Elephas maximus indicus: one gene and its partners. The protein of the gene in region 2 interacts with the protein of the main gene of each other region in a pairwise test. Links are inferred from orthologs where the notes say so. Each region holds a gene or a part of one and is shown on either strand. Other genes may lie near its edges.

Region 1 (7,549 bases), on a different chromosome or scaffold from region 2:
GCACTACTATCACTCTTGCTACAGCTGTGCTGCCGTCTCTCACTGTCTTCCATGATACAGCTCCCCCCTCTCTCCCCATGTCTCCCTTTAAGCCTCGTGGGATGGCAAAACTGACCAATTCCCTTTTCAGTGTTCCATACACCTTATTTACATGGTCCCACCCCCACAAGAATGCCGTGCACCCATTTATATTATTAGCCAGCTATGAATCCCCTTGGTAGGCTACAAGCACCTCATTTGCATAGTCTTATCCTGTCATTTGGTGGAAGTTACAAAGACTATGGGCTAGAAGGGCCTTATTAAGTAATTCACTGCACTGCAAAAGGACAGAGCTGGAATTTGAACTCAGGTCTGGCTGACCTGAAAGTTCATCCAAATGCTTAATTGAAATGCAAACTGCCTTCTTTAAATTCAACTAAGGATGATAATGAGAGGGAGGTCTTTGGGGGAAGTAGAGAAAAACTGTATGGAAGTTACTTTTAAGATGTGTCTTAAAGGGTGTTTGAGTATTTGCCTAGTAGAGAAGGAAGCTATTACTTTCAGGTGGAGGAAAGAGCATGCACCAAGTCAGGGAAGTTGGAAAAAGCAAAGTGTATTCAGAAAACTTAGTTCTTCAGTGGACCTAGAAAAGGAGGAAATTTGGAGCAAGCTGCATTGGGAGGCCAGAGAGGTAACTCGGGTCCAAAATGTGGAGGGTCCTATATGCCAGTGGTCAGTAGACTAGGATGTGCAGGCCAAATTAGCCCATGAGCTAAGAATAGTTTTTACACGTTTAAAGCAGGGCTTTGAACAGGTTCTTCCTGGTTCAATCATGACTGAGGAAATGACACTGGAACAGACCTAAATTTTTTAAAATTCGAGTGAACCAGAACCGTAACAGGAGCTGGGAAAATTACAAGTTGAAACCCTACTAGAAAGTTAATCTCCCTCTTGGAAAACAAGGGCAGCATACACATTGCATAACAACCAAATCTCTTGCCTATTGGATTTTGCGCGGAGTTGGAAACAGTGGTACCCCAATCAAAGATGGTGGCCTACCTCACTGCTTTGAATGTGTGTCGCTCTTCTCGGTCCTGGCAATAACCCAATCTCACACATCAGGCTCCTGAAAGGGCTCACTACACCTCTTCCGAGTCTCCCATTCCAGGGCTTCGATCCAAAATTTTTCCCATTCTGGTTATGATTACGGATCACCCAGATTTTTAAAAATTTGGTTCTGTTTCGGTTTTGCTTCATTGGCCATGACTGAACTGGTTCGAAGCCCTGGTTTAAAAGACTGTTTACAAAAGAAAAAGAAGACTATACCACAAACACCATTATGTGGCCAGCAGAGCCTAAAATATATTTACTATCCGACTCTTTACAGAAGTAGTTTGCCGACTTCTGCAGTATGTCATAAGAAGTTTAGGCTTAATGTTGTAACCAATGGGCAACTTTTACAAGTATTCAAGAAGAGAAAGAACAAGATCAGATGCAGGTTTTAGAAGAAAAATTCTGATGAAGAGTAGACTGGATTGGGGTGGGGTGGGGAGAAGCAAGAAAAGGAGGAAGGAGCCAATTGAGAGGCCATTGCAGTGGTCCAACGGGTGGGCTGACCATCAGGGAGAGAAAGGATGTCACAGTTTTGGTGGTGCAAGCATAGGATAAGTGACTGTGTAACTGTGGGAGAAAAGGGAGGGGAAAAGGAGGTGACTAATTTTTCTCCTTTGGGGAGCTTCAAAGATAGAGTGAAGTTGTTTGAATTTGCAGGTCATTGAAATGTGGACATCTAATAGGGAATAACAGTTGTAGCCAATGGGGGACATGAGATTGCTCAGGGAGTGTGAAGTGTTCTTCTGTTTGTTCTGCAACTTTTTGCTTTTCTCCATTCTGACTAAACAGTTTTTAACAAGTGAGGTTTCCAAGGAATGAGAAGTTAAGGAAAGGTGAAGCTCAGGATGGAATAGGGGACAACAGCTTCTTTAAAGATTCGTTATGGATGAAATAGTAAATGTTCTCAATTTCAAATAGTTATTCATAAACTTTTGGGACTCTATCCATTGGAAAGTTGGGGACTGTCTGAATTATGTTTTGGTAGAGTTGTAGATGATACCAGTGCTCATAATGAAAATGTTTATTAGTGTTGACTGAAAAGAAAAATTATTTACACTATTTAAAATGGAAATTAATAATAAATAAATAAATAAAATGGGAATTATAAAAAAAAAAAAAACACACATCACCCCCTAGAGAACATCAGGTTGATCACAGCACTTCGGAAAGTCTGTGTATATAATTTAGGTACACATTAAACCACTCTTCATTCAGACAACAAAATGACAGCTTTTTTGCTGTTGGGAAAGAGAAAATCCACACTAGAAAAATACATTATAAGGTGGTCCTTGATTTACAACAGGGTTCTGTTCTGACACGAGTCAGTTCTGACGTAAGTCAAATACTTCATTTTTTTTTGAAATTTTCATTATTATTGCCTTTTATTATCAGTATCTTTAAAAATCCAGTCTTTGTCTCTGGGGGTTGGAAACATTACATATAAACTTACAGATATATTTTAATACACACATACATAAAAAATACACAAATCATAAAAATTTTCTCCAAAGATGAAGAAGAGTTGGACGATGTTGGCATTTTGTCAGTTGCGGTAATAACTCCACTTTTGGAAAGTTCTGTGTCTTCTGAATTATCCCTGGGAATTGGGATAGTGTTTCTAATCAGAAAATTAGTAAGAGTTGTCTGTATGGTCCTTTTCTTTTTTTCTTCATATATTTCCTGGTAACATCTCACTGCTTCCTGAATCTGCCTATTGACTCTAGCAAAGTGATCAGCGTTTGGGTCCATGTTTTCAAGCAACCCAAACCCCTGATTTAGTTTAGAAAACTAAATCTATACAGCAGTGTTTTGAAGAGTTAATCATAAAATTGAACATCTTAGAGTGAACATCTGAGAATGATATCATCAGCACATATTACTAAGAATAAGATGTACAAAAAAAAAAGGACTGTCAGAAGTGCAATTAGTGGTAACTGGAATACATCTTAAGTTGGGGACTACCTGTACAACTAACTTCCTTAATGCAATGGCAAAGGCGTATCACTAAAGATGGAAGGGAAGAACATATTAAAAATTTTCTTTTCAGCCATCAAGGTCTTTGCAGAAATGATTGATTTTTAATTCACTTTTGGATACATTTAAGGTTTATTCTTTGGCATCCTAAGAGCAGCATTTTGTTTCTATTATCTCCCTTATTTCTCCATAGCCATTTGACTCTAAAAGTCATTTCCTTGACATGAAAGTGACTTCTTTCTGCAGTTGGCAGATATTGTGAAAGTGTCACTTGGATGTCATTGGCTCAGTCAACCCTCCATTTTGCTCTTCCAATTTATGATACTCCTTTCCCTTTTTTCTCCATTCTCTTCTTTTAACCCACCCAACTCTTCTTTTAGTAGCCCATTATTTGGCTATTTCTCTGTTAGTACCTTAACAGGAATGGGTGGATAATGGCGAGGAAGGAGCGTATGAACTCAAAATCAGTAACTTTTGGAAAAACACTTCAGTGAGAAGATGTGGAGTTATGCCCCCTAAAATCTTTGTTTCTGAAAAGTGGAGTCTTACACAAAGAAACCGGCCTTTGAGTTTGGAACACCCACTCCGGACAGCCTTAGAATTGCATTTTGGAGGCCACAGGCTTAGGATCATTACAGAACTAACTTTTGCATTTAAAGGGCCAGGATTTGAAATTGAGCCAAGCTCAATTATGCAAGTCAATATTTTAAGTAATTCAATCTACATCAGGATTCCTTGATTTTTCATTAAAACTAATATTGAGGGGCCTCATTTAATCGTACAGCAAATGCGGATGTAATGCAAGTTCAAAAGAAGTTTGGGGGCTGGTATATTTGTGAACTTGAGTTAGCTGCTTGGTGATCAACGTGGTTCTTCATTCTACAGAATCACTTGGGGCTTCTGGGTAAAGAAACTTGACCCTCATTCCTGTTAGATTTAAATAATAAAAAATCATAATGATACAAAGTTATGTCCTCTTGAGTAACTGGTGTCAGGCCACTTCCTAGCCCTTCTGCTGCCTCCCTTGAGCGCCTGGCAAGGAACACGTGCAGAGAAAATGGATAAAAAGGTTCCAATTCTCCGCAATAGCACGTTAGAAATAATTTCAATCGGTTGGTGAGCTCTTGCCTCCTTAGAAAAGTGTGGTTTCAAACAGGGCTTCTGTTATCTCTTTATAAAAGCCCTTTTCCCCAATGGCTTGAATTCTGGTAGTGTTCAAATGCCCAGCTGGTTTTGCGCTCTAAACCACGAGAGACCTTCCTACCTCCCCACCCCGCCACCCCAAACACTGAGGCTCTTTAAAACAAAACTAGGGTTAAGGAAATTCCGGAGGGGTGGAGGTGGGAAGGCGAGGCCAGTGGTGCAGACGTCAACGGACTACAATTTCCACAAGTCCTCGCGGGGGCTGCTCGCTGCCCTCCCCTCCCGACCCGTGAGACTTGCGCTTGCGCAGGAGGCCCCGCGCTGGAGGGGGAGGGGGCGGGGACTGGACGTGGCGCCTGAAGAGAAGGAGGAGGAAGAAAGAGAGCATAGACTTTCGCACCGGCCTAGAGCGGCCCTCAAAGTGTAAAAGAGAGGAGGGTGGGCGGGGACCACCCTCAACAGGCCCCCAGCGGAATCATGGCGACCCGGAACCCCCCTCCCCAAGGTGAGCGGTCCGGGCGCGGCTCACAGCTCCTGACCTTGCTCCGGGGGCGGCTTTACCTTCCCCTTCCCCAGGGTCTCTGGGGCTCTGTTTTTTCTTTGAGGCCGCCCGTTTAATACCCCCTCTGAGCTAGACTTCGTCCTCCCCTCTTGGTGGAGCGCTGGGGGAGAGCGACCCTCGCCCCCAAAGTAGCCCCACCCCTTGTCTGTCTTTTCAACCCCGGCCCCTCATCTTCAAACGGTTTTTTAGTCTGACTCTGGAGTGATTTCTTCTCTCCGGCTCCTGACCGATTCTTTGAGAGGAGAACCCCCCTCTTCTCACTGAAAATGGACCTTTCTCTGCTCCTTACCCTACTGAGATTTGGGTAGGTGGCCCCTCACTGCTGTGTAACTCTGATCTGACTGGCTTCGTGCCCCTGGCTGGTCCTTGGGCCTTTAGGAAGGAGATGGGCATATTATTTCTAGCCCCTTTTACTCTTGAAGTCCTAATAACACTCATCAGTTTCCGCCTGGACGTTTTTACCTGTAGGCCAAAAGTAACAGTGAATTGTAACATTAAAAAAAAAATGAAGGAACATTTATGACTTTAGATTGACTCTAAATTAATTTTTTTCTGTTTTTGTATTTTGAAGAGTATGAAAGTGATGACGAGTCTTACGAAGTGTTGGATTTAACCGAGTACGCAAGAAGACACCACTGGTGGAATCGAGTGTTTGGCCACAGTTCGGGACCTATGGTAGAAAAATACTCAGTAGCCACTCAGATTGTAATGGGTGGAGTGACTGGCTGGTGAGAAGAACATCTTTTTCATTAAATTCATTAGGAGCCTGGCCTCTGCCCTTTTGTAGGTGGGCCAGACTCAATACATATTGAGTGGGTTTACACTGTTAATCCTAAAATAGCACAGTTTTGAAGCTTTTCTCTGATATGATTGGTGTAATCTACGCTCAGACTCAGTGTTGGTTTTGATAATTCCCCTCCGTCATGCCTGCCAGGGTACCACTATTCCCTCCTCATCCTTCCTTTGATTTTTTTAATATAGATTCCTCTTTCTGAAGTTCAGCATATGTAGTGGATCTGACTCCGTAATAGTGAGTAAATAGAAAAAAATATTTAAGAGTTAACTTTATGTAAATGGAGCCCTGGTGGCACAGTGGTCAGGTGTTCAGGCTGCTAAACAAAAGGTCAGCAGTTCGAATCCAGCCACTCCTTGGAAACCCTGTGGAGCAGTTCTGCTCTGTCCTGTAGGGTCACTATGAGTCAGAATCGACTCAACGGCAACGGTTTGGTGTTTGGTTTGGCATGTGTAAATAATTTTTACATGTCACCCAGTGGTAACAACTGGAACAACCTGTGAGAAACTCACACAGTAGAACTGGTCTCCCGGATTGTCAGTGCTATAGGGAGCTGTGTAAAATCCTCATTAAGAATGGTTGATGATGATACAGATGGTTCTGTTCATTTTTGTGGGCTGGTTCTGATTATACCAGTGCTTTGAAGAGGAGCTGTAGAATGGTGGTTCTGTGTTGGAATTAAAGGGCTGGCTGCTTCCCTTCTAATATTGTGAAGTACGTTAAGGGGGAGCAGTTAATAGGCATTAGCCTAATCAGTTAACAATTTCGGACCACATGATTACGTAATTGCTGCTATGGATCTACTTTGGTTATTCCTGGAATAAAAGATTGGCCAAGTAACATGGATTAGAAACAAGTCTGACACTTTATTTTGAAAATGTACATGACTGTAGAGAATTTTTGTAGTGAGGGTACTTACAAATAATGGCTTTTTTCTTAGATTCTAAGTTAAATTTATCTTGCATTAATTTAAATATACTTGGTAAGTATAACTTTTTTTTTGATTTGTGTTTTTCATGCACTTTGAACAGTGGCACACTCCTCCATGCCTTTTTAAAAATGCCATTTTATGGGAAGATTCTGTAATGGAAAGGTGCAGTATTTATTAAGTGTATTTGTTAATGCGGCTGTATGAAAAAAAGCCCACAGTTAGAAGAGAGATGTCTGTTCGTGGCCTTGGTCATTCAAACAATTCTCCACAGGCTGGTTGTACTTTGATCCCCTAATTTAGGGTCTGGTCCTCTCTTTATATAAGCTCACAATTTGGTGCCATAGATGACTGGTTAAAGTGAGTCAGGGCCTAATGTCCAATCTTAAAAAAAGAGGCTAAGAAATAATTGAGAAACAGAATTATCAAATCACTATTTGTAGGCCTCATAATTGGCAGATGTTTGCTTGGAGAGCCTAGAGACAGAGCAGGGGGAGTTAGTAGGTTCATTTTAGCAGCTGATGCCATCATACACATGGTTGTGGAGCATGCTGTCCAGGATATCGTTGACACCGGAGACCTGGCTGCTGTTTGCTTCTTCCTCTTCCTTTTCTGAGCATTTGATGCTGCCCCCCCTTACTGAGGGATATGTTTTTTATAGTAATACATACATTTGAGTTATAGCCAGGTGGTAGCCCAGGAGCTGTGTGCAGTAGGACTCTAATATTATACAATGATTTGTTGCAATGACTATAGATTCAGTGTAGCAAATTTTTGCAATTTTCTAAGGGAGTGAAACTGATGTAATAATTTGTGTCATACATTAAAGAGGAAAGGTTAATAAGCACTAACCAGTTAACAATTCAGACCAATTCAGGACATGTATGGGAGGCTAAAGAGATTATATTTAGCTGTAGGTAGCTATAGGTTTTGGAGCATAGTGAAAATAAAACTGACATCAAGATGGGTGGTTGCTAGGAGAGACTGGAGCTCAGGGGAAGACCAGTTAGAGTGGTCTGGAAGCAAGGTAATAGATGCCTGATCCATTAGCAAGGTA
Region 2 (7,929 bases):
GTTCACACTCCGGGGGGGCAGGATGCTGACAGGCTTCCCCCAAGTGTCAGTAAGGTAGGCGTGTCTCTATTCCTAAAGCACCTTGGTGGGTTGGCTCTGCAGCTGTACCTTAGGCCCCCAATGCAAGTACCTCTACAGACTGGTAGGTGTCACCCTCCTTAGACCCCTAAGGCAGGAGGCTAAGTTGTCTGGGGGGAGCTTCAGCCCTCAGTTCCCTGTTGTGGGTCAGTGAGGGCTCTGTTGAATATGCAGAGATATCAGACCTGGGAAACTTGTCTTTCCAGTAAATCCGCTAAAACAATTACAGTGAGATCCCTATCAGAAATTCCTTTGCATTATAATAGCTGCCTTGTTCCCTGTAGGGATGAAAGCCCTGTGGATCACATATGCTTGGCTGGAGCTGGTTCTGTGTTTTTAGTCCAATTAGGGAAGGATTTTTGGTCCCTGGGTTTTTTGTAGTTGCTTTTCTCAGGCCAGGAGAATGGGTTAGGAAAAGACAAAAACAAAATGAAAGAAAGAAAAACCGCAGAGCAGTTTACTCTCTGGCTCAGGAAATTACAATGTTAATGAAGCCGCCTGGGAAGGGGAGGGGAGGGTTTAGAAAAATAGGAGAGAGTAGCACCCCGGAATATAGACAAAGTTACTTATCTTGCTTGGGATGACTGTTTTATCTGAGATTCCTGAGGGGTGCGTTTTTGACTGTGTGCGCTGGCTGGGTAGAGATTGCCCCTGAGGGTCAGGCCCGCGTCCCGTGCTTGCGCTGTCTCAGAAGCTGCGGTTAGTTCCTCCGCTCCCAGTCCGAAGCCCAGCTCCAAGGTTCCCCAGCAGGGATGCCGCACTCCCGGCTCCAAAAACAGTCACTGCCTCCCGGTGACTTCTCCTCCTGTCAGCCATGTTGCTGCGCTGCCTGCGTGCACTGGCTGGGCTTCCCCTGAGGTCAGTTCAGGGGGTTAGGGCTGCACCCCGTGATTGTGCCATCTCAGGATGCCATGCTCAGCTCCCCTATGCCTGGTCCAAAGCCCAGGGCCAAGGTTTCCTGACTGGGACGCTGGCTTCAGGCTCCGAAAACAGTCGCTGCTTCCTCGTGGTTGTTCGTTCTCAGTCTCTGTCACTCAGGTCAACTCTTTAAATCTGTGTTTGTTGGTCAGGGTTCGTAGATTGTCATATATGTGATCAATTCACTTGTTTTTCCGAGTCTTTGTTGCAAGAGGGATCTGAGGTAGCGTCTACCTAGTCAGCCATCTTGGCCCCCTGTATATAAGTTTTTGTGTGAGAGACTGACTTGATTTGTAAACTTTCACTTAAAGTACAATAAAAATTAAAAAAAAAAAAACTTGGATTAATTTCTTGCTCTTGCTACAAGACTACTGTGGGTCTGCAGAGAGGGTCTGCTCATTGTAGTCGGTCAGGAATCCAGACTGAATGGGTTGGCTCCAGTGCTGTTTCGTGCCAGTCTCCTGGTCGTGCTGCCACTGTTTCTCTGCTGCTGCTTCATCTGTGAGTTCTCTGGTGTTACAGCTCTCATCATTTCTTTTTGAGTCCTCACCAGAATTTTCTTTGATGTCCATAATTCCACCAACAGTCTCCTCAAGGCAATCTAGGCTTTTACTATTAAACATTTTAGATCTCTTGCAGCCTCTACCCATTCACAGTTTCAAAACCACTTCCACGTTTTAGGTATCTGTTAGAGCAGCACCCCACTCTCGGTACCAAATTCCATCTTAGTCATCAAGTGCTGCTGCAACAGAAATACCACAAGTGGATGGCTTTAACAAATAGATATTTATTCTCTCACAGTGTGGGAGGCTAGAAGTCCATATTCAGGGCACCAACTCCAGGGGGATGCTTTCTCTCTCTGTCAGCTCTGCGGGAAGTTCCTTGTCATCAATCTTCCCCTGGTCTAAGAATCTCTCAGCACAGGGACCCTGGGTCCAAAGGACACACTCTGTTCCTGGCACTTCTTACATGGTGGTACGAAGTCCCTCTCTTCTCTGCTCGCTTCTTTCTTTTATATCTCAAAAGAGATCGACTCAAGACTGCCTCTAATCCTGCCTCATTAACATCATAGGATTTACAACACATAGGAAAATCACATCAAATCATAAAATGGTAGACAACCACACAATACTGGGAATCATGCCCTAGCCAAGTTGACACATATTTTGGGGGAATGCAATTCAATCCATAACATATGTTTAAGGTTTAACACTTGAGCAAGCCACTTGAAATTATAGAACTCACCATTGTTGATATTACTGGTGTAGTGAACAAATTATTTTTATCCCATCTCTCATCTCACACACTTATGTGAGAAGCTTTCCTCTTCAAATGGCAGCCAACTTCACTATGGAAGAACAATTTTGTACTCACTGCCCATTTCTTCAGTGTATTAGTTAAGACAGAAACCTTGGTGGCATAGTGGTTAAGAGCTCAGACTGCTAACCAAGAGGTCAGCAGTTTGAATCCACCAGGCGTTCCTTGGAAACCCTATGGGGCAGTTCTACTCTGTTCTATAGGGTTGTTATAAGTTAGAATTGACTCATGGCATCAGGTGGGTGGGTGGATATCCCAGAGTGAAATGGGAAAGTACATGGAAGAAAGCATGGAAGAGATTTTATCACCCAGGCTGGAAAGCATTGTCTTGTCCTTATTCTAGAAAATTTCTGACTGGTTTACCAGAGAAGTCAGCTTCCATGGCTTCATGCCACTACTGAATTTTCATGACAAACACGGCATTTCAAGGTTCATAGATCACCAGTGCAGGGAAAAGCAAGATTAGATAGTTATCTCTGTTCTTTTTAGTATGCATACAGATTTGCATAACCAAAAGATCAGCGGTTCGAATCCACCAGCTGCTCCTCAGAAACCCTATGGGGCAGTTCTACTGTGTCCTGTAGGATCACTTATGACTTAGAATTGACTCAACAGCAATGGGTAATAGTAATAGAAGGAGCCCTGGTGGCACAATGGTTAAGCACTCTGCTGCTACCCAAAAGGTCAGAGTTCAAACTCACCAATTGCTTCATAGAAGAAAGATGTGGCAGTCTGCTTCTGTAAAGATTTACAGCCTTTGAAACCCTATAGGGTTGCTATAAGTCAGAATTAACTTGATAGCAATGAATTTTTTAGTAATAAAAGGGGGCAGTATGGTTCAGTGGTAGAATTCTCACCTTCCAGGTTCCAGTTCGAGTCCCAGCCAATGCTTCTCAAGCATAGCCAGCACCCTTCTGTCAGTGGAGGCTTGTGTGTTGCTATGATGCTGAACAGGTTTCAGTGGAGCTCCCAGACTAAGGCTAGGAAGAAAGGCCTGGGGATCTGCTCCTGAATATTAGCCAGTGAAAACCCTATGGATCGCAACGGTCTGTTACCATTGTGCATGGGGTTGCCATGAGTTGGGGCCAGCTTTTCTGCAAACAACAACACAGTAGGGGAACGTTATGCTGGTTAGGTACAATCTCTCTAAGCAGAACAGACTGTAGATTTTACATACAGCTTTTGGGCAACATGGACTTCAGAGACTGGGGAATTTCCAGAGGCATTTAGGGTTTTTTTTTAGGGTTGACATCACTTGTAGAAGTTGGTTGCTTAAATGAGCCTGTTGTTGATTGGTGGCCCTCGGAAGTGTGAGTATTGTATGGTTTGTGATTGGCTGGCTATGAAAGTGAGGGGCTGTCATTGACAGGTTGGCTTTCAAAAGTGGGTTCATTGAGGCAATTGCCCTTGATCTATTGAATGGGTTTTGCTACTTATTACCAGGGTTCAAAGCAATGAAAATAACCCTTAATCATAGTTAAAATTTGTGAAACATCAGTGAACAAAGCTATTCCACTGTTTTTTTCCTCTGAAACTTTCAGGCTGCCTTCTGATCACTTCATGGAGGGTGGGTTCTACTGGAGGCTAATCATGCTTAGAGAAACCTGGTCCTCACTTCTGGAGGGAAGGGACTAAGCCTGGTTTATTTTTACAGTCTCCAGCCTACACTTAAAAAAACCAAACTCTTTGTCATTGAGTTTATTCCAACTCATAACAACCCTATAGGACAGAGAAGAACTATCCAAGGAGGGGCTGGTGGACTGGAACCGCTGACCTTTGGGTTAGCAGCCCTAGCTCTTAACCATTTATAGTATGTGTTCAACTTCTGAATAAGTGAAATATTAGAAGTCACAATCCTTCAGAATGTCAGAATTTTTAAAAGACAAAGGATTGGGCAGACAAACTCATGGGTTTCACTGATTGCCATGTGAACCTAGGACTAGTAACAGGATTTTTAGGTAAATGTTTGGCTGATGTTAGTACCCTACTCCTTAGGTCAAACTTGTGATGCTTGTGTTCCAGGTGTGTGCCATTTCACACAATTGTCAAGGGCCTCAGATATCTACCCCCTTTCAGAAGGATCATGAAAACTCTTCAGAGGACAGCTTGGCCAGCTTAGTGAGCCCAGACTTTGTCCTCCGAAGTCAGCCCCTCTGAGTGTCACAAACCTCCACTCCCTGTAATTCCACCGGTTTTCCCCAGCCCCCTTTGGACTGCTTTGTGATGGGAGGAAGATGGGAGCAGGATGGGCAACCACAGAGAGGAAGAGATGGCAAGTGTTTGTAGAGCGCAGGGTGGGGTCCCGGGAATGGAGAGGGCTCGGTGGAAACATAGGGTGCGGCCCAGGTGCATTCGGGCCAGGAGGGAAGAAGGGGTGCGGCCTCGGTGCAGTCGAGCTGGGTGGGAAGATGGGGTGCGGGCCCGGGTGCAGTCGGGCCGGGATGGGCGGCGCGGGTCCTCGCGGACCGCAGGAAAATGGAGGGCGGGCTGGGAAGACCGGGTGCCGGCCCGGGGCCAGCCGGCAGGCGGTCCGGGCGCTCGGGGGCGGCGCCCGGCTCTCATTGGCTCAGCGGCGCCCCTCCTCGCAGGGCGGCCCGGCCCGGGGAGAGAGGCTTCGGCCGGCAGTCGGAGGCAGAAGTGACCTCGGCGACAGAGGGGCAATGGTCGAGTATACGCGAGTGCGGGACTACGTGGCGCGGATCCGCCTGCGAAACCCGCCGGTCAACGCCATCAGGTAACAGACCTGGCAGGTTCACCGGCCCCCCGCTCGGTGCTGGTTTAAATCCAGAAACTGACACCGACTGAACCCCAGGCATCTGCGGGGACGTTTTTACAGGGGTTGGTTTGGGGACTCTTCGCAGAGAACGCTCATCTCGGTTTGACTGGTAAGGAAACCGAGGCTGAGGGGTGTAGCTACTAAGTAGGAGAAAGGGACTCGAACCGGCTCTGTCCACGCCAACTTCATGCAAGACCCTTCTGCTAGCTCACAGCTTTGGGTCTTCAGTAGTTTCTATTCCAAAGATCTTGGTTCAGTACAGTCCTGGGCCCTGGACCCTCACTCCCCAGCCTGAAATCCAGGCTGCCCTTAAAACATGTAGCTAAGAGTTTTAGAACTCAGAAAATAAAATGGTTTACAGTCGCCTTGAGTCAGAGTGGGTTGGACTGGCAACTAACAACAACACAAGGCCCCAGTTCATGAGAAGGCAGGGAGCATGAGCTGATCTGCTCCAAACCACAGGGCCTTAATGCTTCTGTGAAAGGTCCATGTCAGAATAAACCCTCAAATGGCATTTTCTGAAAAGCTACTGTGCAGTTTATCACCTTTTATTTCATCACGTGGTAACTTCTTTGTTAAACTCTCTAACCGAGATTTGTGCAGAACACTTGCAGAATTACTTTTAAAAGTGAGAGTAATGCTGCCTTTTTGAAAATTAATGACTTTATGGTACAGGTTTGGTCCTTCCATATCTCTGCAAAAAAAAAGTATGGTGACACTTTAGCCTTAAGAAAAGCCACCCATCCACAGGAAGCGGGATTAGAGGAAATTAGCATAAATAATCATGTTATACAAGGGCCTTTGATCAGAATTCTTAACTGTAGACTACTGAAGCAAAGAGAGACTGAAATGAGGAAGCCTGCTAATTTTAACTGCATTGTTTATTCTTCTGTTATCAGATTTGATTCCATCTTTAATGTTACTGTTATAGTTCATATTATAGTGTGAATGCTTGCATTTAATAATACAAAAAAAAAAAATCGCAGGAACCACTCCCACAAGGACAATATGTCCGCTTGATTGAAAAGAACAGTACGTCAAGTTTCTTGCTTTGGATGAAAAAACCCCAAGTAATAGGATTATGTATCAGTTTTGGACTTGTCTGTGTTCTGGTTAGAATTACCAGACGTTAGGACTCTCTGCCACACCTCTGCTCATAATGGGAAACTGTGCCAATCAAGGGAAACCCTGGTGGCATAGTGGTTAAGAGCTATGGCTGCTAACCGAAAGGTTGGCAGTTGGAATCTACCGGGTACTCCTTGGGAACTCTGCTCTGTCCTGTAGGGTCCTTATGAGTCAGAACTGAGTCTGTGGCCACGGGCTTTTTTGGTTTTACACTACAAAGGCTGGTTGGGGTGACTTTGCAGGGTAGCTGCCCCCCTTGCAGTGACACAGCAATCCAAGCTACTTTAATCTTTGGAGGATACCATCTCAACATGTGGCTCCCAGGACGCCTTGGCAGGGGGATGGAAAACAGAGCACCATGCAAAAAACCAAACCAGTTACTGTGGAGTAGACTTTGACTCACGGCAACCCTGTGTGTGTCAGAGTAAAACTGTGCTGACTTTGCAGAAGTAGATCACTATGCCATTTTTCGGAGATGCCTCTGGGTGGACTCCAGCCTCCAACCAACCTTTCAGTTAGCAGCTGGACATTTTAACCATTTGCACCACCCGGGGACTCCTGGAGAACCACACCACACTCAAAAAAACCAAACCCATCAAGTCAATTCCAGCTCCTAGTGACCCAATAGGACAAAGCAGAACTGCCCCATAGAGTTTCCAAGGAGTGCCTGGTGGATTCGAACTGCCAACTTTTGTTTAGCGGCTGTAGCTCTATTTTTGGTGTTGTTCCAATTGCAATCATTCTTTTTCTTTTTCTTTTTTTATTGAACTTTAGATGAAGGTTTATAGAACTAATTTCTCATCAAACAATTAGTACACACATTGTTGTATGACATTGGTTAACAGCCCCACAACATGTCAACACTCTCCCTTCTGAGCCCTGGGTTCCCTGTTACCAGCTTTTCTGTTCCTCCTGCCTTCTAGTTCCTGCCCCAGGGCTGGTGCGCCCCTTTAGTCTTGTTTTGTTCCATGGGCCTGTCCAATCTTTTGGCTGAAGGACGAACCTCGGGAGTGACCGCAGCATTACTGAGCTGAAAAGGTGTCCGGGGGCCATACTCTCAGGGTTTCTCCAGTCTATGTCAGGCCAGCAAGTCTGGCTTTTCTTTTTGAGTTGGAATTTTGTTCTACATTTTTCTCCAGCTCTGTCGGGGACCCTCTCTTGTGGTTCCTGTCGGAGCAGTCAGTGGTGGTAGCCAGGCACCATCTAGTTGTACTGGACTCAGTCTGGTGGAGCAGCCATAGCTCTTAACCACTGTCTCACAGAGCAATGGCTTGCACACTTTTTTGACTGACCCGCATAGTAACCCAAGTTTTACATTACAACCCAGGCCATGCATACATACAAATACATGGCTAAAACCAAAGTTTCTGGAAACAAAACTAACCCTTCCATATTATACAGTTTGATATAGTTTAGTCTATTTTCTCTCTTTTTTCAGTGCCAGTCACAGGCCACAGACTCGATGTGGTGACCTTCAGTTTAAAAGCAAGACAAAATACTATCTAAAAAAGACCTCCTGTGGTCACAGAAGCTAAAGGGTTTTGGTCACAGCACACGTGACTCCAGACTCCATTTCACCTGACAGGATCGAGGGAAGAAAATGAGTCCTTCACCCTGGGGATCTTTACATTGCTGCAAGGCTGTGGTCCCTTCCAGCTGGCTTGAATTCAATAAAGCTGTATCAGTTACAGCCATTTTAGTTTTTCTCACTTCCT
Region 3 (7,493 bases), on a different chromosome or scaffold from region 2:
CACAAGACCATTGTTAAGAAAATTAAATTGAAATATGTATAACACTCTCAGCCTCTCAAATGGTGGGGGGAATCAGAACATAAATGAATAATTATATTGGTTTCTGTTACTCCTTGTGGTGCTTTGTATACTTGTAATGCAACAAAAGACATATAGTTCATCCACTCTATTCTTTTCCTCTAATTACAGATGAAAGACAATTTGTCTTTAAAGATCCTAGCTGAATGATCAAGCTTCTCTCTTGAACACTTACTATACGGTTTACTTTGTAAGTTTGGTTTCAGATTTGGTGATATCAGGATTAATAACATTTTGTTTTATGCTGGTACATTTTATCTTGCTGGGTTCTGAACAAAGCACAGCATTTTCTAAATAAGAATTTTGCAATACCAACAAAAATACTCATGTGCTTACATGTATAAAGTATGAATACCTGGGACTAAATTTGTTTACTGAACAAATCACTTGGAATTATCTTTAGGAATCAAATAGATTTGGTTTCAAGTATTTTTAGACTAGGGCTGGTTTTCAAAAGTGTTTTCATTTAAACTATAATTATAGTTAGAGAGTCAATGAATAGAATTCTACTTATGTAAAAAAAAAAAAATTTTTTTTTTTTTTTACGTAGCCAATATAAATTCATTGCTGTTACTTGTAAGCACACACCTTAATTTAATACACAAGATAGGATCCCAAACTAGTCTTGTTTCTTCATTTCTTTTTCACCTGAAACAAGTCCTTAGAAATTCAAACCAACAGTGTTATGGATTGAACTGTATCCCCCAAAATGTGTTTCTTCATGGATAGGTCATGATTCCCAGTATTGTGTGGTAGTCCTCCATTTTGGGATCTGATATATTTATCCTATGTGTTGTAAATTCCCTATGATGTTACTGAGGCAGGATTAGAGGCAGTTATGTTAATGAGGCAGGATGTAATCTACAGGATTAGCTGTACTTTGAGTCCATCTCTTTTGAGATATAAAAGAAAGAATCTCAGAGAGGGACCTCATTACCATCAAGCAAGAAGAGCCAAGAGTGCATGCATCCTTTGAACCCAAGGTCCCTGAGCTGAGAAGCTCCTAGACCAGGGGAAGACTGATGACAAAGCCTTCCCCCCAGAACCAACAGAGAAAGGCTTCCCCTGGAGCTGGTGCCCTGAATTTGAACTTCCAGCCTCCTAAACTGTAACAGAATAAACGTTGGTTTGTTAAAGCCATCCAGTTGTGGCATTTCTGTTTCAGCAGCACTAGATAACTAAGACAAACAGCAACAGAAATAGCAAAAAAACCACAAAACAAGGTTTATATAAAGAACAAAGGTCAACACATGACTTTAGATCTCTTTATTTACTCCAGTGATACTTACTTTAGTGAAGAAAATAATTTGTTTTGTTCTTTCAACATTCACTCAACAAATCACGGGCTCTGGAGATGATCCGACAGGGCTAGAATCCTGGCATTATCTCTTAATTTAACCTCTCCACACCTCATTTTCCTGTTCTGTGAAATGAGGACAAAAACATTACCTAACTAACAGGGTTGCTGGAAGGATTAACTACGTAAATACACACAAAGGGTTTATAACAGTCCCTGATGATACTAAGTGCTCAGTAATTTCTAGGTGTGGAATAGTACAGTTGCAAACAAATCAAACACAGTCTAGTGGTCGTGTGGATGGGGTAGGTATTGAAAGGCATCAAACAAATCACACAGCTAATGGCATCTTTATAATTGTGTTATGTGTCCTGAAGGAAAAACACAGGATGTTAAAGAGGAATGTGTGGGCTGTTTTCCCAATGAACTGCCAAAGTTAAACTCTGATGACTTTAGAACATCTGAAATTTCCACTACCCTATATCCATCCATTATACATAGTTTTACTGAAAACCTCAAACCTCAAAAGCTGAGAACTTTTAATTTGAAGATGATGATACATTTATAGATATCAAGGTTTTTAAAGATAAATTCTAGCATGGGGGGGATCATTCAATCTGTTTGTTTACTACAATAAACTGATGAGTAATTTACTACATATTTTATTAAATATTTTACTTTTTAACATGGCTTTTTAAAGGACAGATTTTTCAAAATCTTATTTATTTGGGGGCTGAAATTTATTACCGCAGTTTTTAAAGAAGTCAATTTGACATAATATGCAGAGTCGAATATATTTTTCCAGTCACATGCTCACCCTCTAAGTTGTTTTTCTCTGGTGAAGCAGGAAATCAATACCCATCTGTACTGATAAAATTGCAGAGTGTTTTTATATTAAATACTAGCCTCATGAGTGAAGACAGTTCATGAATAAGAGTTGACAGAGGAAAAAAAATGTGTAAGATAAAAATGCAACAGGAAAAAGGCTTTTAAAACGGATTCAGGGTTCCACAGGGTTCACTGAAAAAGGATGTCAGGGAACTCTTTAGAAGAGTAGGGGTTTCGATGCAGAATATAAAGAGGTGAAACAGAGAGAAAAAAACCATGTGGGCTGAGAAGTAGAATAGCAGGTAGGAGATGTTCACCTCAGACAATGATAGTCATACTCTTGTATAACTATATTACTTTTTATGTGCCAGGTGTAAAACCCATATATATTCTAATTAATATTCACGACACTCCGTGAGGTATTGTTATTACCTCAATTTTATATAAAGAGAAACTGAGGTACAGAGAGGCTAAGTAATTTACCCAAGGTCACACAGCTAGGAAGTGGAGGAATCAGAAGGGGAACATAATTACCATGTCCTAACCTCTCCTAAGCTAAAATAATATGGGTAGAGATAGAAAGGCTAGAGAAATTGTGTCCTTGTTACTGGAAAGTAAATGAAAGGGAAGATTTAGCATTCAAACATCTGGAGGGATTGCAGTGACCAGGACAGTGGGAAAGGTGAAACACGCAACAGAGACAGGGTTTAGCTTGGGAGCAAAAATAAATTTTAGGAATCATGTACATGTATCCCACATAAGATGCTTTGATACTCATTCATGGCAAGATGCAAAATACACTGCTATTTTATTATGAGAATATATATGTAATCCAATATCACTGACCCAACCCATTCTGAAGCCTCCCTCAGTCCATTCCCAGCATATTCTCAACCTCTAAGGACCAGTGATAGGGTGAGGCTCCGGGATAAGGTAAAAGTCAGAGGCAGTGATAAGGATATTTGTGCTATCTACTTAATAATAAAATGGTTCCAAGACAGTGTCAACATATCATGTAGCCAGGAACATAAAATCCGTTGCACAGAAGGTGTCTTCCTCAATTTCGAATAGGTTATTCCTCTTAGAAGGGCTGGATTGATAGTGGTATAGGACCCAGACTTTGAAATCAGAAGACCAGAGATCCAGGCTCTGACATTTAGCTAGATTTTAAGTTCCTCCACCTCTCTTAATATTCAGATTCTTCATCTTTAAAATAAGGGATAACAAAACTTTCATCATGGAGTGGTGAGGATTAAATTATACAGCCTGGGAACTATCTAGCACATAACTGACACTCAAAAAAAGGGGACTGCTAAGCCAAAAGGGTGCCTAAAAATGCTGAACTTGCTTACTATGGATTTTAGACTATTAAGATTATCAAGAACTTGTCAATGTTTCATTTTTTCTGTATGTTTTAAAAAGGCATGTTTTTCTATACATATGGAGTCCCTGGGTGGTGCAAACAGTTAAGTGCTTGGCTACTAGCCTAAACATTGTTGGTTTTACCCACCCAGAGGCACCTGGGAAGAGAGGCCTGCCCATCTGTTTCAAAGTCACAGCCTGGAAAACCCTACGGAGCAGTTCTACTCTATAACACTTGGGGTCCCCATGGGTAGAAATCGACTTGATGGCCTAATAAAGAATAAAAAATGTAAATTTGAGCTTAAGATTACTGGTTATATTGAATTGTGGAATCACTCTTTGCATTTATTCCAAATCCCATCAACATTTCAGGTATGACAAACTTAATTCTGCGCAGATGAATTCAATCCAGGCTTTATGATTTTTAAAAACTGAAGGCATAATTGCCGAGTCCAAAGCCTCACCCTGCAGGGTCTAAGCATTACCTCAGCAAAACTGGCAGGCCACCAACTGCAGCGTCCCTCCAAAGGCACCCTGGAGGATGCTGATAACCAGGGGCGAGTGTCAGGTCCCAGGCCGCGGGGCCGCTCCCTGGTTCGGTAATCCCGGAGGTCTGGGGCTCCGCTCTTAGGGCCGTGCTCGGGAGTGGCGGGCCTCCCCTTCCTTGTCTACTTCACCCCCTTGCCCAGTGTCTCCCAGTGCTCAGGTCCTCGCCTTCCTTGCCCAGCCAGCCTTCCTCTTCGACCCCCCACGCTCACACTCGCCCCTACCGGCCATCCAATCGTATGCCGTCTAGCACTGACTGTCCAATCAGGAGGCAGCCTTTCCGACGAGGGGCGGTGCTGACTGGCAGGGCCTGCGGTGTGTTGTCACATTCGCCTGTTTAGGGTGAAGACGTCTGACCTGAGGCAGCCTGCAAGGTTCTGCAACCCAACTCGGACACCATGGCGGACAGCCGGGACCCAGCCAGCGACCAGATGAAGCGCTGGAAGGAGGAGCGTTCCACGCAGGTAAACCCCGTGCCTCACCAAAGTTGAGGGTCTGCGAATAAGGGCCCCAGCTTCCACCGTGCAGAGGCGCCCGGGAGGGCCGTACCATTGGTCACGGGACCGGGGGAGGGGAGCCGGGCAGTGTTTGTCCAGATGGGCTGTTACATTGGCGGGGGAGCTGGGGAGAGGGTGCTGGGGCAAGGGCAAGCGGGCTCCCAATAATGCTTGCAAACCCTCAGCTTTTGCCTTCGGCAATTGGCGGCGGGTTTTGCACGGTTGCCAACTGGGACAGAGGTCACAGCTTGAGGGAGGAAAGAAGGCCCCGGGGGAAAGAGATAGAGGGCTGCAGCTGCAAGAAAGGAAGTGTGGGGTGAGAGACTGGTGGGAAAGAGTAGTGGGAAGCTCCAACTTCCACCTTCCCAAAGCTTTCTCCGAAACCCTGGAGGCGTAGTGGTTAAGAGTTCGGCTGCCATCCAAAAGGTAGGCAGTTCGAATCCACCTGGTGCCACTGCGTGGGTTCAAACAGCCAACTTTTCCAGTAGTAGTCGAGCGCTTAAGCTTTTGTGCTACCCAGGGACTCCTACCCATTATCGTCAAGTTCATTCCGACTCATAGCGACCCTGTAGGACAGAATAGAACTGCCCCATGGGGTTTCCAAGGCTGTCAGAAGCAAACTTCGGGCATCCTTCTCCCGTGGAGTGTGGGTTTCAACCACCGATCTATCGGTTAGCAGCCAAGCGGTTTACCAGTGTGACACCACCGCTCCTTCCAGTGACTAGTAGTGCTTGTGCTTGTGCACTGGGTATTAATGCTACAGTGCTCATCAATTGCTTTAATGGTTCTCTTTGAGAGTACTGCCATTCTTCTCTAAGGTCCTTGAAAACCTCTCCTTGCTTGCCTGTCCTTTTCTATATGCCTCTAGGATTTTTTTTTTTCTAGGATATTTCAGTTTGTCATGCAGCTTTTAATCAAAGCGAACCAGAGAGATGCAGTGTCTTAATCAAGGATACACAGCAGTTAATGGCAGAGTCAAGATTAGAACTCAGCTTCTTGGGGGCCAGGACCCTTTACATACTCAGACCAAAAAAACCAAACCCATTGCCGTTGAGTTGATTCTGACTCATTGCGACCCTATAGGGCAGAGTAGAACTGCACCATAGAGTTCCCAAGAAGCACCTGGTGGATTGGCACTGCCGACCTTTTGGTCAGCAGCCATAGCTCTTAACCACTAGGCAATCAGGGTTTCCTTTCCATACTCAGTGGTTCATACTGATGTTTTTATGAATACTTGATGAATTGAGAAAAACATGGACAATGTAGCGAGTTTTTCATAAGATAAAATTTATTTATTTAAAAGGATTCCCCATTATTCTGAGACTAGCTTGCCTCTTCATTGATTGGGAGAATCATTAAACCAAACTTGTTGCCATGGAATTGATTCCGACTCATAGTGACCCTATCGGACAGAGTAGAACTGCCTCATAGGGCTTCCAAGTAGTGGCTGGTGAATTTGAACTGCTGACCGTTTGGTTAGCAGCCAAGCTCTTAACCACTGCACCACCAGGGATACGGGAGAATCATTATCTGTTGTTAAATCATTAAGACTCTACTGGAGTCCCTGCATGATTAAGCTCAGGACTGCTAACAGAAAGACTGGTGGGCCAGGCCTTGGAAGAAAAGGCCTGGCAATCTGTTTCCGTAAGGTCACAGCCTTGAAAACCCTATGGAGCACAGTTCTACTCTGGCAAACATGGGGTCATTATGAGTCAGAATTGACTCGATGGCAACTGGTTTCTTAATTTCTTTTCTGCTGTTAATTTATTGTACATAGTGGCCCACATGAGAAAGAATTGACTTATGAGGCAAAATCTATAATTTGAAGCATCTGCCTTTATGATTTGGGGGGTGTGGGCGGGACTCAGTTGAAATTCCTGCTGTTGCCTCTGCCCACGGCATGTCAGTGCCCTATGCACATTGGTCTTGATTCATAGTCACATTGATGTCTCATCGTTCCTCAGTTTTAGCTACTGTGACTGGTAACTGCTCACCTCTTTTAGGTCATCCCCCAGGACCCTCCAAAGGGGGTTTTGCATATGTCATACAGTCTGTATAATTTTCAATGCTTTATTATGAAAAATTTCAAACTTTCAGAAAAGTCGAAAGAATTCTGCAATGACTACCCATATATCTACCATCTAGATTCTACAGTTACCACTTAGCTGTGTGTTTTATCACATGTTATTCCATCTGTCCATCCCTTCATGTATCCATTAATCCATTTTATTTATTTTTGGGTTACATTTCAGAGTTAATTGTGGACACCAGTATACATCACCCTTAAACACTACGCATAGTATTATTAACAGAGTTTAACATTTTTTAGATAATATTTACATACAATGAAATGCACAGATCTTAAATTTATCATTATATGATTTTTTTAAAAAATAATACTGTGTTTTTGATGAAAGTTTACACAGCAGATTAGGTTCCATGTGATAATTTTCGGTACAAGCTGTTGAGTGACACTATTTACATTTTCCACAATGTGTCAGCATTCTCATTAATTGTGTTCTGGTTGTTCCGGCCATTCTATGAGTTTTGACAGATACATACACCTATGAATCCGAAACCCCTGTCGAGAAGTAGAGCAAAATCAGCACCCTAGGAAGTTCTCTTATGGTGTTTCCCAGTCATTCCCTGCAACCTTACCCCAAGAAACCATTGTTTTGATTTTTTCTTTTAAACATTAATTTATATACTTTTTTAATAAGGCTTCTTTCAACAAAAATGTTTTTATGATTCATTCATGTTATTGCATGTATCAGCAGTTTTTTCTTTTATTGATGAGTTTCATTCTTTGGCATGAGTGTATCACCATTTGTTTATCCTCTTACTGGACATCTGGGCTAGATCCTGTTTTTGGCTATTATGAATAA
Region 4 (7,507 bases), on a different chromosome or scaffold from region 2:
ATACCTCTGAGTCAACCTAAATTTTACCAGTGTATGCTGCTTACAGACATAATAGGCTCTGTGAACCAAATAAAGGGCTGATTTGAAATTCTGTCAGTAAAACTTTTTTTAATCAAAACCCAGTAATCAATCTCAACCATCTCTTTAAAGTCTACATTTTCAACAAACTTTTACTTTTGGTTCTATAAGTTTTGATCAACTTTTTAAAAATTAAAGGATAATGTAATCCAAAATTTTTAACACTTTTGATCTCAGAAAAAAGGTTAAAATCAAACACTAATATACAAATTTTTGGTTGCACAAAATGATAAAATTACCAATAATATTTTCAATCATAAATGTAAATTATATTACAATAAAATTTTGTGGGCGACTGAGTGGAAATAAAGTTTCAAGCAGAAATAGTGATATAAAATGTCTGATGATTTTAAACTGCAACATGTTCAGCGTTTTTCAAATAGAAGATGGTAGGGTATCAAAGAGCTATGGGTATTGTTGATAGTTACATTAAACTGGATACGTTTAAATGAGTTTTTTAAAAATGTCAATATTTTACTATGCCAGAAATTCTTTACAATTTCTTAAACTTATGATGACAAATTGCAAATGTCTTCTTAAAAAGGGAGTACCCTACAGGCTGGGAGCCCTGGTGGCACAGTGGTTAAAGCATTCAGCTGTTAACCAAAAGCCACTCGTATCGGGTCACTATCAGTCGGAATTGACTCAATAGTTTTTTTGCGGGGGGGCAGACTGGGAGAAGATTTTCAGTAACCATATACCCAATAAGGGTCTCATATCCAAAATATATTTTAAAAAATCAACGACTTAACTATGAAAAGACAAATAACCCAATCAAAAAACAGGAAAAGGAATTGAGCAAACATTTCATCGAAGTGGATATTCAAACGGCCAACAAGCACATGAAAAGGTGATCAGTGTCATTAGCTACTATCAAACCCACAGCTATGGAGTCAGTTTTGACTCACAGTGACCCTGGAGCAACTAGAGAGATGCAAATCAAAACTACTGCGAAATACCACTTCACTCCTACTGGAATGGCAATGATCAAAAAAACCCAGAAAACAATAGGTATTGGCAAGGTTGTGGAGAAACTGTAATCCTCAGCCATTGCTGGTAGGAATGTAAAACGGTACTGCCACTGTGGAAAACTGATTGGCCATTCCTCAAAAATTTGACCATTGAATTACCATGTGACCCAGTAATCCCATTCCTAGGTATATGTCCTGAAGAAGTGAAGGCAGGAATGGAAATAGAAACCTGTACACCAACGTTCATTGTAGCACTTTCTACAAGAGCCAAAAGGTGGAACAACTGAAACGTATACAGATGAGTGGATAAACAAAATGTGGCATATACAGACAACGGAATACTCCTCAGCCATAAAGAGAAATCAAGTCTTGATACACACCGTTACATGGGTGAACCTCGAAAACACCCTGCTGAGGGAAACAGGTCAGTCACAAAAGGACAAATACTGACAGTATGATCTCACTTATATGAAATAAGCAAATATATAGAAACTGATGATTATTAGTGGTTACCAGGGGTGGAAGAGAGGGGGAAAGGACGAATTTTTGTTTTGGAAGCACTGAGTTTCTGTTAATGGTGGTAGAATGATTTGGAAATGGATAACGAGAATGGTTACACAAGTTGAAGAACATAATCAATGTCACTGAATTATACATGTAGAAATTGAGATGGCGTACTTTCACAATAAAATTCTTAAAAAGAGAAAAAATACATGATGGTACATGATTTTCCACATTTTTATGGGGTATGTAAATATAAAAAAAATTGAAGAACACTTACAGGAGTCTAGTTATAAGTCTGCCTCTTTGGTCTGAGAATGAACAGTTCATTCCCATTCATTCACTGGGTGACAATCCTGGCAGGTGAGCACAGTACAGTGTGTGTGGTATTATAGAATATTCTGGACAGATTATGAGATCAGAAATCTAGCTTTTTCAGTAACATGTTTTGTAACCCATGGCAACCAGTGAACCTGTCTGGCTTTGTTTCCATACCTGTAAAACGAAGTGATTGGACTTGGGTTCATTGGAAACTGGGAGCTATTCCATTGTGTCATATAAGCTCTATATAAGAATGCACTGAGGGCGTTTGTCATTATCTTTTCCTTCTTGTTAAAGTACTTGGAAGTTTTTTCCCTGCAGGTAACATAAACACAGTCGGGAGTAGAAAAGAAAACATTTAACTTTTTTTACTTTTGCTCGCCACTAAAGAGAAAATGCTTTTCTAACACTAAGGAATGAACAATCAAGTAATTAATTGAAAACCCTTGCATGGCCACTAGAGTGATTTTTGAGACTTTATGGAGGCTCTTATAAATCCTGTGGAGAGAAAACTGGTATACAGCGGGCTTATGTTTACACCACGCATTATTAATCTGAGATCTATGGACAGAATTCAACGGGTCCAAAAACTTGTGTAGAAAAAAATGTCTTTATTTTCACTCATCTGTTAATTAAATTTTTAAAGTACCTGAGCGGAGCTTGCTCTCAGCTACTAACCAAAAGTTTGACCATTGAAATCCACCCAGCTGCTCTGGGGAAGAAAGGCCCAGAGATCTACCCAAATCCACCCACCAGCTCTGAGGAAGAAAGGCCCAGAGATCTACCCAAATCCACCCACCAGCTCTGTGTAGGAAAAGACTGGCAATCTACTTCTGTAATGTAAACCAAAAAGACCAAACCAGTTGCCAGAGTCAATTCCCTGCTTCTGACTCATGACGATCCCATGTATGTCAGAGTAGAATTGCTCTGCACAGGATTGTCAGTGGTGGTGATCTATCATTAGGCAGTAGATCACCAGGCCTATCTTCCTACACGCCTCTGAGTGCATTGGAACTGCCAACCAAAGGTTAGCAGCCCAGGGCTTAGTGGGTGTGCCACACCCGGGGACTCCCTCCATAAGATTACAGGCATTGAAAACCCTATGAAGTGCAGCTTTACTCTGAAACTCACGTGGAATTGCCATGAGTCAGAATGACTTCTACGCAAAGGGTCTGGTTTTTAATTTCGCATTTCCTTCGATTCTGGATGTAGGTAAAAACTAGCAGTCGCTGTTACTCTGTCACCAAATCAGTTTGTTATCTCATTACAGCTGTTCTAGATGTGTGAAAATATCATTTATGCTCTTCACTACTTTAAAATTATGGTAGTTTATTAGGCTTGCTGCTAGCTCTTTTTATGTAATGCAAAAAGTACACATATAACTATGAACACACACTATTACTACATAACCAAGTTATGTGAACGCAATTTAGTTCCTTTGTAGTCCTATATACTTTTCATGCATTTAAAAACATTGCTCTGAGGAGGGGTCGGTTAAAAAAAAAAAAAAAAAAACCCTTACCATCAAACCGATCCCGACTCACAGAGACCCCTAGGACAGAGCAGAACCGCCCTCCCCCCTCCCCCCCCAGAGTTTCAAGGAGCAGCTGGATTCCAACTGCTGACCTTTTGGTAAGCAGCCGAGCTCTTAATCACTGAGCCACCAGGGCTCACCAAATTGCCAAAGGCATCTCTGGCACACACACAAAAAAAGGGCTAAGAACTCCGGCATGAACACAGGCATAAATATCATTAAAGGGCCATTAGTGCAGCAGAAAGCACTTGGTGGCTGTCAGTGTGAATCTTGAAGACTGCAAATTATGGCTCGATAATTGCCTTCATAATTCGTGGGGCTGGGATGCAGAGTGAGTGGATAGCCCTAAGGAGCAATGAGTTGGAACGTAAAATAAGAAAAAAGCTTTTCAGAAATCTCGGAAGCCAAGGGGCTAGGAGGAGCCCACTTCAGTCTCGTGCTTTGTTACTGGTACGTCTACCGATGGCAAACAACCCACTTCCTGTTGACTGACACTATTGCCATCCCCACCCCGGTTCTCCCCCTGCTTTCACAGGGGGCACACACAAGGCAGAGGAACAAAACCTACACAAGTGAATCAGAGAAAACTCAAAAACTCATGTTCGGGGATTGCACCGATACCCGAAGGCTCCCAGGGCTTACAGGTGCGCGAGGAGGTTCCATTCCTTCTGGTCAGCACACCAGGAGCTCTGGCTCCTGAAAACCACTTGCACCGAAAAGTTTCTCCCGCAACCTCAACTCTGGAAACCAGCGCTTGCCGGGCAAAAGGGTTCCGCCACCTCTGGCTGGCTGCCCCTTTCCCTCCGCGTACCTCAAAGCCCTTTTGCTTGGAAGCCTGCCCTTTCCTACAACCCAAAGTGTGGATCTCTTTAAAAGCCCGGGTTCGAAAACTGAAGCCTCAAGAAACGTACTCAGACTCCTCCTCTTCCACTGCAGCTGGGCGACACTCCAAACCAGCGCCTGAGGCCGGCGCTGTTGGTTGACGTAGCATTGCTTCATTGGCCTGCCGACCTGGCTTCCGTGCTTTCATTGGTTGTCGCGCGCGACCCCGCCTGACGGAACGGGATTGGCGGAAGGCGGCAGGCCCCGCCCCTCGCCCCGCCTCCGTCTCGGCGGCCGCCCGGGTGTCCTCGCGCTGCTCTTCCGCGCGCAGCCTGGCAGTTTGCCTCTTCCTCGCCCTCCAGCCTGCGCCCATGGCCACCGCCGCCGCCGAGGAGCCCTTCCCTTTCCACGGTCTCCTGCCGAAGAAGGAGACCGGGGCCGCCTCCTTCCTCTGCCGCTACCCGGACTATGACGGGCGGGGCGTGCTCGTCGCCGTCCTGGACACGGGGGTCGACCCCGGAGCCCCCGGCATGCAGGTGAGGCAGCCCTCGGGGCCCGGGACGGGAGCGGACGCAGCCTGGGGGAGCCCGGCAGCCCGAGGTCCCGCCCGGCAGCCCGAAGCCCCGCCCTGCGGCCGAGCCAGCCCCGCGGCCGGCAGCGCCGAGAGCCCGGCAGGAGGCGGAGGCTGACGAGGAGCCGGGCGCACGTCCCAGCCTGGGGCGGCCCTGCGCCGGTCACGGGGACCCGGAGGCGCCCGGGGCGGCGTGGGCGAGGGGCCCGGGGCCCGGAGCCCGGAACTCGTGAGCCCGGAGCCCGGAGCCCGGACCTCCTGAGCCCGGAGCCCGGACCTCGGAGCCCGGAACTCGTGAGCCCAGAGCCGGGAGCCCGGACCTCGGAGCCCGGAGCCCGGACCTGGGAGCCCGGAGCCCGGACCTCGGAGCCCGGAGCCCGGACCTGGGAGCCCGGAGCCGGGCGGGCCGCGTCCTCGGCCCAGACAAAGCCGCGCGCCCGGCCTGGCAGGTCCGGGGAGCCGGGCTCCAGCGTCGCCGCCGAGAAGCCCGTTCGCCAGGCCGGAGCCTCGGGCGCCCGGCCACCCCCGCCGCCTGCCTCGCTCTGCGCGTCTCCCGGCTCCTGCGAGTTCCCAACCTGTCATTTCAACGCCTTATTGTTGGGTGACGAGAAAACAGAGGTGGGACAGGCGACCTCTCCGAACTTAATTTTCGTGGCTGTGGCTGCAGAGATCCGGTTCGGGAAAGAATTGTTTGCCTTTAAACACGAGAGCCGGGTTTCCGAGAAGATAACTCTGTCAACTTCCGGAATTGTTTCCTCTGCTCCTTTTACGCTTTCTATTTTTAAGCCATCATCTGCAGTGTGCTTGTTTAGGGTCGTTGAATGCCGTGGCTCAGCCTTTGTTTTTGCATGAGACAAATAAAATCAGTTTGTTTTTAGCCAGCTTTTCAGGCTTTATTAAATTATGCTGCGGTATTTTCTTAATGTCAAAACATAAAGTGACGTACTTCATTTATTTTTCTAATTACCACTTAATTTTGTCTTAGGCAACTTTTAAGTATTTTAGATCAAGGTACCGTAGCGAAAGGTAATTTTTAAAAATACATCACTTGGCTGAGAGATTTCTGCTTCAAGTCTTTTAAGTTTGATTTTTGTGAACTTAGACTTTTACCGAAATTTCTTTAAGGAACAGAATGTTAACCATTGTCCAAGGCCTGTCTCCCAAAAGCTTTCCCTGGCTAATCCTCCTGCGTGTTGATCTTCTTCCTCTATCTCTCACACACCTCTCTTTCTACGCTAAACTCTGAAGTTCAGTAACGTGCCTTCCTCCTTCCCTTTCTGGATCCTTCGTTGTCCTCTCTGGTAATTGCTGTAGTATTTTGGAGGTTCGGAAGTAATTTGGCGAAAAAGGGAAGCTAGGCTGACCTCGGTAGAGGAGTTCTCTGGGAGCCTTGCTTCCCCAGGGTAATTCTCAAGCCGCGCTCTGGAGTACCACAAACTCCTGTTGGCACTGCTGGGCAGCTTTGGTGAGTCAGAAGAGGAGCAGATGACGAATTCCCTCCTGTAACTACAGTATCTGTGTTGTATTAATAACTCTTTACGATTTAAAACAGTGACAGCTATCACCTCGTTGAAGCTTTATTACGAGTAGTAACAGTTTCTATTCTGTTGTGGTGTCTGTTTACTTTTTATAGGGATAAGTGGGAGAACAGCTGGGTAAGTGGTTCACAGGTTCCTTTGTCAGTATAATAAGAGGACCTGAGAAGTTTAGAGAAGTACTGTCGTAGTAGAAATTTCTTGGTAAAATTTCCCAGATCTGCTTATCGAGTTATTCTGTTAGGCCTGGTAAAGTAACAATAATTCTCACCCTACAGATTTGCTATGAAAATTAATTTTAAGGGAGGATTAATTATATGTGACTTCTTTAAGTGCTCAAGAAAAACGTTAAACTAATTTTTTAAGCAGTGATGTTTACTAGGAGTTTGTACTGGATCTTTAATCATCCATTATCCAAAGGTTAAATGTGTATTTGCATATATTAACATAAACGCTTGAGCAATATTTAAATCAAAGGAAAACATAAGTGTTCGAAGAACTTTAACTTTTAGATCCTGACCTTAAACATGGCCAATGAAAAGAAATTCAGTAAGGTGGCTTGTAAATAGGTAAATTTTTAAGATTCTTTACTTATAACAGATTTATTTTGTAGGTTTCTGTATACATCATTAAGATAAGACGGATAGAAATAAGGAGGGAAGGAATGAAATAGGAGTAAGAGGAGGCTGAAGTGGACATTTGGAAAGACATGGGGTATGAGTGCAGGAGTGGAGGGAGGCACAAGTGAAAACTTCCAGGGACACGGTGAGGTGTCTCCTTGTTTGGTGACTGTCTTGGACCCAGTTCTGTTTTGTGACAGCTGACTGGACATGTGGAAAGTGGAAGGTAGATGGTGTGAGGAAGCAATAGTTACATAAATAATTAAATACTTCCTCAGCAGATATTCAGGCACCTTTGAGGTGCCTAACGTTGTGTTAAATGATTAGTCCTGCAACCTGTGGTTGTTTTGGAGGTTGAAAAGGAGGGGGCCATTGAGAGCTGGATAATCAGGACTAGGTGGGTCTTGGACTGGATTTAGAAATATGTATGAAATATCCAGCTGGTCTCCCTGCCACCAGTCTTTCTTCTCTTTGAACCATCTTTCACATTGCTGGAGTTATTTTCCTTTAAAAAAAAAAAAAAAAGCTTAGTATTATACCCTTGTTTAAATCAA

The links.
Region 1: the proteins of EHHADH (region 2) and FUNDC1 interact in binary tests that used the Homo sapiens proteins (3 or more experiments, as listed by UniProt). The two-hybrid records come from large-scale screens. The link is inferred for Elephas maximus indicus from reciprocal best matches to the Homo sapiens genes EHHADH and FUNDC1.
Region 3: the proteins of EHHADH (region 2) and CAT interact in a two-hybrid assay, tested with the Homo sapiens proteins (2 studies listed by BioGRID, with this or other methods). The link is inferred for Elephas maximus indicus from reciprocal best matches to the Homo sapiens genes EHHADH and CAT.
Region 4: the proteins of EHHADH (region 2) and TPP2 interact in binary tests that used the Homo sapiens proteins (3 or more experiments, as listed by UniProt). The two-hybrid records come from large-scale screens. The link is inferred for Elephas maximus indicus from reciprocal best matches to the Homo sapiens genes EHHADH and TPP2.

Annotation. Positions count from the first base shown.
Region 1 is NC_064846.1:128,603,431-128,610,979, forward strand, and holds the start of FUNDC1 (FUN14 domain-containing protein 1), read left to right. Parts: upstream 1-4,541; 5' UTR 4,542-4,686; coding exon 4,687-4,714; intron 4,715-5,342; coding exon 5,343-5,499; intron 5,500-7,549. UniProt on the Homo sapiens protein: Integral mitochondrial outer-membrane protein that mediates the formation of mitochondria-associated endoplasmic reticulum membranes (MAMs).
Region 2 is NC_064819.1:29,836,561-29,844,489, forward strand, and holds the start of EHHADH (peroxisomal bifunctional enzyme), read left to right. Parts: upstream 1-4,915; 5' UTR 4,916-4,973; coding exon 4,974-5,047; intron 5,048-7,929. UniProt on the Homo sapiens protein: Peroxisomal trifunctional enzyme possessing 2-enoyl-CoA hydratase, 3-hydroxyacyl-CoA dehydrogenase, and delta 3, delta 2-enoyl-CoA isomerase activities. Catalyzes two of the four reactions of the long chain fatty acids peroxisomal beta-oxidation pathway.
Region 3 is NC_064825.1:89,648,027-89,655,519, forward strand, and holds the start of CAT (catalase), read left to right. Parts: upstream 1-4,490; 5' UTR 4,491-4,509; coding exon 4,510-4,575; intron 4,576-7,493. UniProt on the Homo sapiens protein: Catalyzes the degradation of hydrogen peroxide (H(2)O(2)) generated by peroxisomal oxidases to water and oxygen, thereby protecting cells from the toxic effects of hydrogen peroxide.
Region 4 is NC_064841.1:67,545,410-67,552,916, forward strand, and holds the start of TPP2 (tripeptidyl-peptidase 2), read left to right. Parts: upstream 1-4,507; 5' UTR 4,508-4,598; coding exon 4,599-4,763; intron 4,764-7,507. UniProt on the Homo sapiens protein: Cytosolic tripeptidyl-peptidase that releases N-terminal tripeptides from polypeptides and is a component of the proteolytic cascade acting downstream of the 26S proteasome in the ubiquitin-proteasome pathway.